3 linked regions of the Daphnia pulex genome follow. The protein of the gene in region 1 interacts with the protein of each later gene in a pairwise test. Links are inferred from orthologs where the notes say so. Each region holds a gene or a part of one and is shown on either strand. Other genes may lie near its edges.

The links.
Region 2: the proteins of prefoldin subunit 3-like (region 1) and prefoldin subunit 5-like interact in binary tests that used the Drosophila melanogaster proteins (3 or more experiments, as listed by UniProt). The link is inferred for Daphnia pulex from reciprocal best matches to the Drosophila melanogaster genes mgr and Pfdn5.
Region 3: the proteins of prefoldin subunit 3-like (region 1) and prefoldin subunit 2-like interact in binary tests that used the Drosophila melanogaster proteins (3 or more experiments, as listed by UniProt). The link is inferred for Daphnia pulex from reciprocal best matches to the Drosophila melanogaster genes mgr and Pfdn2.

What each region holds. Positions count from the first base shown.
Region 1 is NC_060028.1:10,584,702-10,587,801, reverse strand, and holds prefoldin subunit 3-like, read right to left. Parts: upstream 1,644-3,100; 5' UTR 1,574-1,643; coding exon 1,481-1,573; intron 1,407-1,480; coding exon 1,334-1,406; intron 1,266-1,333; coding exon 1,054-1,265; intron 995-1,053; coding exon 882-994; intron 812-881; coding exon 727-811; 3' UTR 659-726; downstream 1-658. Other genes in the region: c-Myc-binding protein-like, read left to right, coding at 93-211, 281-382, 450-564; guanine nucleotide-binding protein subunit beta-like protein 1, read left to right, coding at 1,858-2,007, 2,070-2,888. UniProt on the Drosophila melanogaster protein: Binds specifically to cytosolic chaperonin (c-CPN) and transfers target proteins to it. Binds to nascent polypeptide chain and promotes folding in an environment in which there are many competing pathways for nonnative proteins.
Region 2 is NC_060023.1:2,200,257-2,203,288, reverse strand, and holds prefoldin subunit 5-like, read right to left. Parts: upstream 1,612-3,032; 5' UTR 1,462-1,611; intron 1,406-1,461; 5' UTR 1,371-1,405; coding exon 1,257-1,370; intron 1,189-1,256; coding exon 1,054-1,188; intron 993-1,053; coding exon 918-992; intron 854-917; coding exon 748-853; intron 688-747; coding exon 614-687; 3' UTR 560-613; downstream 1-559. Other genes in the region: 1-acyl-sn-glycerol-3-phosphate acyltransferase alpha-like, read left to right, coding at 1-147. UniProt on the Drosophila melanogaster protein: Binds specifically to cytosolic chaperonin (c-CPN) and transfers target proteins to it. Binds to nascent polypeptide chain and promotes folding in an environment in which there are many competing pathways for nonnative proteins.
Region 3 is NC_060024.1:9,271,768-9,274,475, reverse strand, and holds prefoldin subunit 2-like, read left to right. Parts: upstream 1-1,344; 5' UTR 1,345-1,431; coding exon 1,432-1,589; intron 1,590-1,688; coding exon 1,689-1,812; intron 1,813-1,875; coding exon 1,876-2,058; 3' UTR 2,059-2,111; downstream 2,112-2,708. Other genes in the region: aurora kinase-like, read right to left, coding at 53-211, 274-408, 490-675, 807-874. UniProt on the Drosophila melanogaster protein: Binds specifically to cytosolic chaperonin (c-CPN) and transfers target proteins to it. Binds to nascent polypeptide chain and promotes folding in an environment in which there are many competing pathways for nonnative proteins.

The sequences.
Region 1 (3,100 bases):
CGTACCTACTTCGAAAGAATTTCATTGATTTTGTTTTAAATCATACCTTCTAAACAACCGTTTTACGATTTTCAATACAAACTGATCAAGAAATGGAAAGCAAACGTGACGAATTTCGTCGTTATTTAGAGAAGGCAGGAGTCATGGACGCTCTGACAAAAGTTTTGGTTGGACTCTATGAAGAGCCAGAGAAACCAAATGATGCATTGATGTAACAATGAATTTGATTACTTACACATATAACACTTATTACAATACAGATTTTTCCTCACATAATTAGGTACCTAAAAACCCACCTGAGTGTTGCCCATCCCGATCAGGCTGAACTGGAGTCCATGAGGAATGAATTGCATTTTGCTCGGAGACAAGCTGAGATGTTGAAGTGAGTCGCTATTTAATATTACACAATGATTACAGCCATAGAATACCGAACACATTTTCTATATTAGGGAGGAGAATCAAAGGCTGTCTGCAGAACTTCAAAAGTACTTGGCTGTAGAAAGTTTGAGTAAGGAGGAACCTTCTGAACAAAGTACACCTGATCATGATGAACAGATAAATTGAGGCCACTTCCATCTGTCAAATCACTACCTTCTGTGCCTTGACATTTAACTCATTTATTATGTATTTCATGTTCATTATTAAATAAAAAACTTGATTCTGAAGCAAAATTTTTTATTGTGAACAATTGCAGTAGTTTCCTTTCATGCTAGCTGTAAAGAATTATTATTTAGCATTCAGGGCTTGTCTTCTCTTGACATCCCAATTGTAAAGCCTAGCCATGTTCACTTCAGTTGTTGTCATCTGATCCCTGTATAGATTTTAAAAAACATTTAAAGTTACACTGTTAGGGAAAGCCAAGCCAAACAGAGTAAACTTACCTAAGGAAGTCCAGATCATGATGTACTTGTGCAAGATTCTTCATAGCTGTTTCATGATTTTTTTCCAACAAAGCCTTAGCATCTTCTAAAGTGTATTCCAACATCACATTAGCCTGAAAAATAAACAGAATATTAGTTTGCAATCTTGTATAGTTTAAATGGTATAATTTACCCCTAGCCACAAGCAGACTTTATCTGTGGGTTCAATAACTGCCCTAGAGTACAGAAGGTCTGAGAGTAAAAAGTGAGTTTCAATTTGTTCGTTAGTTTTCCTTTTTGCTTCCAGCACTTGAATCATGTCAAGTGATTTTTGGATGTCTGGAATTTGACTCTTCAACTTCTTTTTGCGTGCCAGAAGGTTAAGCTCCATGAATTTATATTTTCCTGTAACAAAGATTGATAAAATTAACAAGCATGGCAAAGATACATTATGGCTTAATTAAATAACATACCATGTTGTTCGTCTAGTTGCCGCAAAATTGACTCCACCCCTTCACGATCCTTCATGTAAGCGTCTACATCTTCCTGTCACCGGTATAAACTGATATTGCACTGAACGGAAAGAAATTTGACATGGTGTTTTCACAAACGATATTTACCACAAAGGTAGCTTCGGGAATGCCAGCAAAAGACTTTTTTCCGGATAATTTCAGACTATCTTCGATAGGTTCACATGCTGCGGTCGAGGCCATTTTTGGAGATTTTGCTTTTAGAAGACAGAAAAAGGTTTTTTTAGTCTGCAATGTAAAAAGCCGATTTTGTACGGATTGTGTATTATTCACCATAGATGGCGCTGGTGAACCTGTAGAACCAAAAAGAAAACAACTTTTTGAAAGTTTTTGACGTGAGACATGCAAAAACAAAATTAGCTTTTTAATTCGAAATTGTCGATGGATACATTTATTTGAGGTCAGTTCTTATCATCTACTATAGCTGAGCATTAGGAAACTAAACAAATTTGGTTATTAAAGACAAAATGGCTCAACCACCACCAGATCCAGTCCACATTCTGCACAATCCAAGTGGACCAGTCACTGCATTAGCTGCACTAAGACTAAAAGAGGATGGTGAATACAATCTAGTCAGTGGATCAGAGATTGGATTCATAACTATTTGGAATTTAAATGTAGGCTTAAATTGATTTGCTTAAAATTGATTGTCTAATGACGAAACACCTTTTAAATTCAGGTTTATCGACCAACCAAGACCTGGCAAGCTCACAGTGCCACAATTGTGTGGATTGGGGCTTTGGATGACAGACCTGGTTACATAATTTCACATGGAAGAAATGAATCTCTCATCATCTGGAATGCAGAAGGAATCTCAGTTCATCGGATGCTAGTCACTCATGAAGGATTCTGCAAGTGTGACCTTTGGGCCAACATCATAGCCATCCCTGCCAAGAAGAATTCAGTTGAAATCTTCAACATCAGTCAGGAAACGACGTCGCTGGACCGTACCGGCACGCTAACGATCGACGACGACGAAGGAGCATTAATGGCCATTAAATTGTTGGGGAAACAGACGACTGTAGTAACCGCCTATGAAAGTGGATGCATTTGCATCTGGAACGAGAACGTTGTACTCCATCGAACAAGGGTCAAGAGCATGCCGACTTGCTTGGGGCATCATGCTCAGCGTAATGAACTCCTATTAGGAACTTCATGCGAAACATTATACATCTTCAACGTCGACGACCTAACCGAGCTCAAGTCTGTCGTGCTGACCAATCCCGGACTGAACGTCATGGCGCTCCGCCTATCCGACCCGCGTCTCTACGCAACAGCCGGCTGGGACCATCGCATTCGCTTCTTCAGTGCCCGAACTCATAAAAAGCTCTGCGTCCTTCAACTTCACGACGGCCCTGTCAACAGCCTGGTCTTCATCATGGGTCAAAGCGGCGGCGGCGTCGGCGGCTTGTTGGCCGCCGGAGGTAGCGACTCTCTGATATCCCTCTGGGATCTGTACAGCCAGGCAGGCCAGCCAACAACAGTGACGTCGGTTTGAACCAAAACCCCCAAAACCCCTTGAAAGGCAAGTTCCTGGCTTCCTCGTACACTTCCTTTGTATTCTAATCAACTGTGTGACTCTGCATTGATGCCGCAAGCTTTTCAAAAAAGGGAATATATAAAAGCGAGGGGTTGTTCTCTGCTCTCTATCGTCGTTTCTCCTCAAATACATGAAGAAATCAGAAAAGAATTTTATACACACATATATTT
Region 2 (3,032 bases), on another chromosome or scaffold:
ACCGTATTACCACCAGTGTCTACTAAAGGCATGACAATGGAAGATTTACCTGAGTTAATGGAGCGAGTGCGCAACATGATGTTGGAAGTGTATCAATCCTCTTCTGACGAAATATCTAATGCTAATAATGCTCAACCTTCTAGTTAAAAGCTCTGACATAGACTAAATCCGCTGGTCTGGACTAATGTTGCACCGCTTCAAAAGTGAGAAATTTAAAGTGTAACAATTGATAATTTTTTTCTGTCAAGGCGAAAAAATGTGCTGTCTAGTCCCCGTGTAGACCTGAATTCCTAAATTTTTTTGTCCCATTTCCAATGTTCGGTTTGGCAATTTTTTTTAACTACTTTTTGTGTGTTAACTTCGCTGTTGTTGCGTATGTTCAATGGCCATCAAGTTTATCTGCGACCGGGCAGGTACAACGATGCACAAAATCGTTTTTTCTATTGGAAATCTCCCTTTTTGTACTCCTCCATGTTATTAACAGTGCAAGTTTAACTGTTTGAGACTCAGCAGCTTCATTACGAATCGAAATAAAAAATTAAAGCAATGAAAATGTCAATTTGTTGATGATGAAATTTTATTATTCATTTATTATACTGTACGGATGGTCTGTTTAAGCGCGAACTGCAGCCTGAGGGTTGGCGGCAACTTGGGCTTGTACTTTCAAATCCATCACTTCAGCAACAGCTGCAGTAAAAAAATCTTTAGTACATAGAGAAAATTAAAAATAATATCAAAGTAAATTACCATCTCTGACTTGACTCTTTTCAATACCAAGCATCTGTACTTTCTCCATTTGTTCAGTAACAAACTTTACTTTACGTCTGAAATAACTCTTAGCTTGTTCAATTGTCTGAACATTAAACAATAAAACTTAGTAACCATTTCAATCTTTTGACAAGATTATCAGCACTTACATTCTCTGCATAGTAACCGGTTCCAATATCAATCAAAGGTTGTTCTGGTTTACTGATTTTTCCAGGCACATACATCTATCAAATATAAGGTCTTATACCAAGAAATCATATGTACAATTACTTTAATCTAGCTTACAGATCCTGTGAGTGGAACAAGTATAGGTGCACCTTCCTGGGTAGATTCTAGTTTCTCAGCACTTTCAGCTGATTCTTGAAATTTTGTCTGTGCAATTTTCAAAGTCTGAAGAGAATCTTGGTACAGGCTTAAATCCTATACAGTCAAAAATGAAAGAAAGCAGTTATAAATAATTCTATAAAATAAAATAATGAAATAATGACTTGTTCAAGTTGCTGCTTTAACTGAGACAGCTGTGGAAGTGTCAAAGTGGTCAAGTCTATTTTCTGCATATTATCTCCTCCTTGGGCTTTATCTTTTTGTGCATTACCAGCCATTTTCACAGGTGTGTTACTTGATTGGAATCTATCAACTTAACGAGAAATACAAATATATAGAACCGCAAAAATTCGAGTATTTTGGGTGTACCTTTAAAAGGAAATGTCCACCACCACCAGTGTAAAAGAGCAGACGACGTGATTTAAAGGTTTGGGCGTTTAGCATTTCTAAACAGCATCTGTTCTTATAAGATGGTTTCAGAGAAAAACACCTGAAAATGAAGTCACAATTATTTATAGAAATATTTCTAAAGCCTTCAGTCATTGAGAATTCACGGAGAAATTTTTTAAATCATGCATCTTGTTTCTAATTTGAGACTTGAATTCTTTTTTCAAGTTGCAAAAAAATAGGAATAAGTATAGACGGATTGGATTCCTTGTTATTGTGATTGCGAAATATTCAGCGTTGAAGGAGCCAGAGGAAAAAAACCGGCCTCTCGGCGACAGTCTCTACTTCATCGGTATCAAGATCAGGAGCGATCAGGAGTATGAAAAGGGCAGACAGTGGTGCGTTTTCCGACCTTCCGTCATGAGTTGACGATTTCTTCACAATCAGTCAGACGACAGATACCGGGTGACACGACACGTGCCGCAACGTAAGACCGCTATATATTTCCAATCGTCTACAATCATCTTGCGAGACACACAGAGAATAGTCTGAACTCTTATGGCCTATTGGCTACTGGAAAGGCAGGAATCCTTCAGAACAGCAAAGATCAATGTACTGGGGGTCACCGAGCATCAAAATCTGCTGGCCAGTCCAGGATGTAACTCCCTTTTATCACTTTCGATATCTCGATATACAGAGGTTCTTGATATACAGATATTGTGTGGGCGGACTGGAATCTGACTAGACACCAGACAGAGCTCTCTTTTACTGTTACACTGAGACTAAATAACATTTTTTTAATTTGACAGCCAATAAGGACACTATAAGCTGCAACTTAACTAAGCGATAAGAAAACGTTGCTTTTTAACGAACAGGACTCGATAGTCTATGCACAACGCACTGGCACAATTATGCTTACCATTCACACAATGAATACTTTCAGAATCAATTACTAGGATGCACAAGTCTAATCAATAACTTTTAATGAGGAACTCAGGATGAATTGAATATGTAATGTATAGCATTTTTTTAAAGTATTTTTGTGTATCGTGTCAAATATTTTACATGAAGAAACAAGCGAAAAATTTAGACTAAATGCATTAAACGATATTATGTTTTTCTGACTTCTTTGACAATATTAAAAATGGGTTGGTTATCCATGGAATGCTGATCTAAAACAAGATTTTTAAAAAGTAATTACCAATAACGAAACAAATTATTTTCCGATATTCAAATTACCTGAATTAATTGTATCGGACGGATCTCATCAAAGAAGAACAAAATACAATTATTTGAAAAAAAAGGTGACTTAACCGATATTCGGCCGGCACTTTCCTGTCTGCGTTCGGCGGCTACCGGGACCACAAGGACGCATTCCGGCTACAGCGACGGATCTACCTGATGGGGATCTACTTTCGGCTTCCTTATCTTCCAGATTCCGTTCATCAATTTCGTTGCCCCCGTGATGAGGTCTCCTACCAATCTTAAATGCTCTTAATTGACATCCGACGGTATTTGTGGCGTAACGCTCTAGCGTTTCATTTTCGGAACAA
Region 3 (2,708 bases), on another chromosome or scaffold:
AAATAACTTCGATTTGTTTGGTTCTACACTAAACAATCATATTTTACTTTACCTAGACGAAGGAGCATGGACGGACCAACCAAAATCGGCTATTTTAATTTCTCCATGAAATCCTAGTAAAAGATTTTCTGGCTTAATATCTCGGTGGATTACTTTCCGCGCGTGACAGTATATCAATGCATCAGCTAGCTGAGCCATGTAATTGGCCGTCCTAAAAATAGGGGTAAATTATTTTCCACAGAACTTATGTTTCTGTTATTTTAAAAAATTTACTGTGGTTCAGAAAAACGGCCATTGGGTTGGCGTTTCAGGTACTTGTACATTTCTCCATTTGCGGCGAATTCCAAGATGAGGTAAATACGAGTTTCATCATAAAAATATCCGTGCATGCGTAAAACATTGGGATGTCTACAGTAGAGTCGCAGAAAAGGTTGATGTGCATTAGTGATATAAATTTTCCATAAAACATGTGATCTCATTAGTATGTACCGTAAATGTGACTGGATTTCAATTTCACGTCTCAACTGGTGTTCCATCTGACATTTTTGTAGTTGAGATTTAAACAAAACCTTCAGGGCTACAATGTATTTGGTATTGATTTCTCTAGCCAAGTACACATTTCCAAACTTCCCTTTACCAAGAGGACGGCCAATTTCGAAGTTATCAAGACTCCATCTGGGTTGAAACAAACAAGCAGAGAAACACACATGATTTGGAAGATTAATGCCACAATTAAAATATTTAAGTCAAGAAGATAAATGAGAAACACTTTGTTGGATTCTGAAAAACAAAAAATTCTAACATACTTTGAGTTTTCCAACTTAACAGTAGGTTGGTTTGAAGAGTTCTCTTTAAGTGGCTGCTTGGTTTCCATGTTATCTGTCAATTTCAAAATCAAAACATGAAACATTTACAAAAACACGAAGTTCAAACTTACTTATTCACTTACATTTTCGTAAAAAACGTTTAGATTGGTCTAAATTTTCAAAATGTGTTGTAATTGTATATACCTGTATACCAATGTCTAAACTTCTAAACTCTAAAACCCTAAACCGTGGTCTACTACGGTGCTGCTGCTACTGGACGGTTTTGGACAAATGGGAAAATATTCAAACGGCAGAACAACCGGCGTTGCCGGTATGATGGTATTATGGAAATATTTTCGCCTCCTCCGTTTGTCGTTTTTCTCAGATTTTCTATAGACTTCGTCTTCGTGTCTAAGACTAATTTATTATTAAATTATTTCATTATCATTAAGACGATTATTGTTCTCGGTGCTCTGCAATCTGCAAATAGGCCTAAGTCAATTTCGACAATCGTCGATCGTCGACTTCGCTACATTCTACCGCTAGTCTCAAATAGGAACTAGGAGGGTAGGAAGTAGAATAGCCTGAAGTTTGTCTGCTGCTTAGTGCTTTTGATACGTAAAAAATGGCGACTGACGGAAGCAAAAAGCAAGCTAAAAATGCTCCGAAAAATGTTAGCAAATCGAATGAAGAAGTCATCCAAGGATTTCAAAGATTACGAACTGAACAGAGACAACTAGCTAGTAAATTATCTGAGCTCGAAATGGATCTAAACGAGCACAAGTAAGTTTTACCGGTTTCACTTTATAAACAGACTTCCATAGCGTGTAGAGGATAATTTACTCCTACTATTAACTATGTCATATTTTTTTTCTTACTCAGACTAGTAATAGAAACCCTTCAAAATGTGGATGAAGACAGGAAGTGCTTTCGCATGGTTGGTGGAGTACTAGTTGAACGAACTGTCAAAGAAGTTCTGCCTGCACTGACATCAAACAGGGACCAGGTAACTTGTTTTCATATTGTATTATTTGGTTGTAATTTTAATTACAATTTATTTTTTATATAGATGACTAAAGTAATTGAAGTTCTCAATAATCAAATTTCCACCAAGGGACAAGAAATTAATGACTTCAAGGAAAAGAATAATATCAGGATACGAAATCAAAATGAACTCCCATCTACAGCTCCTGATAATGAAGGAGAAAATAAAGTTGCCAATCAGGGGGTTTTGGTGGGCACCAAACCTTAACTGATATACCTTGTTTTGTATGCTCTGCTGCTGAAGAAAAATCAGAAAACATATGTTTTGCTTTTGCTTATTTTTATGAATCTAATACTTTCATCTGCTCTACTATCCTAATGGAAGGTTAGAGTACTAAACAATCTGTGTGATTTACCAAGAAAGCTTTTAAGAAGCTTAGCTATTCTAACTTTTGATGTATTTATGAATTACTAGCAGGAATTATTCTATTAGATTTCTATTGAATGCACAATAACTTAGTTTATCTCTGGTTTCTCCGAAGAGCGACAACGCTATAAAATCATATGGATTTGAGATCACACCGGATTTTAAACCAATAATTTTTGCTGCTGCGAACTGTTTAGTTTGTGTGTAATATTTGAAAAGTCAAAAGTGTTCCCCACAAAATTGCTTTGGCGCAGTTCTCCGTAAAATTTGTTTTACAGATAAGTAAACAATGGTGATCAAAATATTTAATTTATTTTCTAGGTGAAAAGTTGGTCTAGACAGTCTACTTATGCAGTATACACCAAAACGATTCGACGACGATGTGTGGGAATTGGTCTCGATGTCAGGTTAAATTCTCATCGTAAGTTTGCTCTCTTTCTTTGTCTGCTCGCGGCTTACTATCTAAATAGATTAAGCCAGCCAACCAAGGA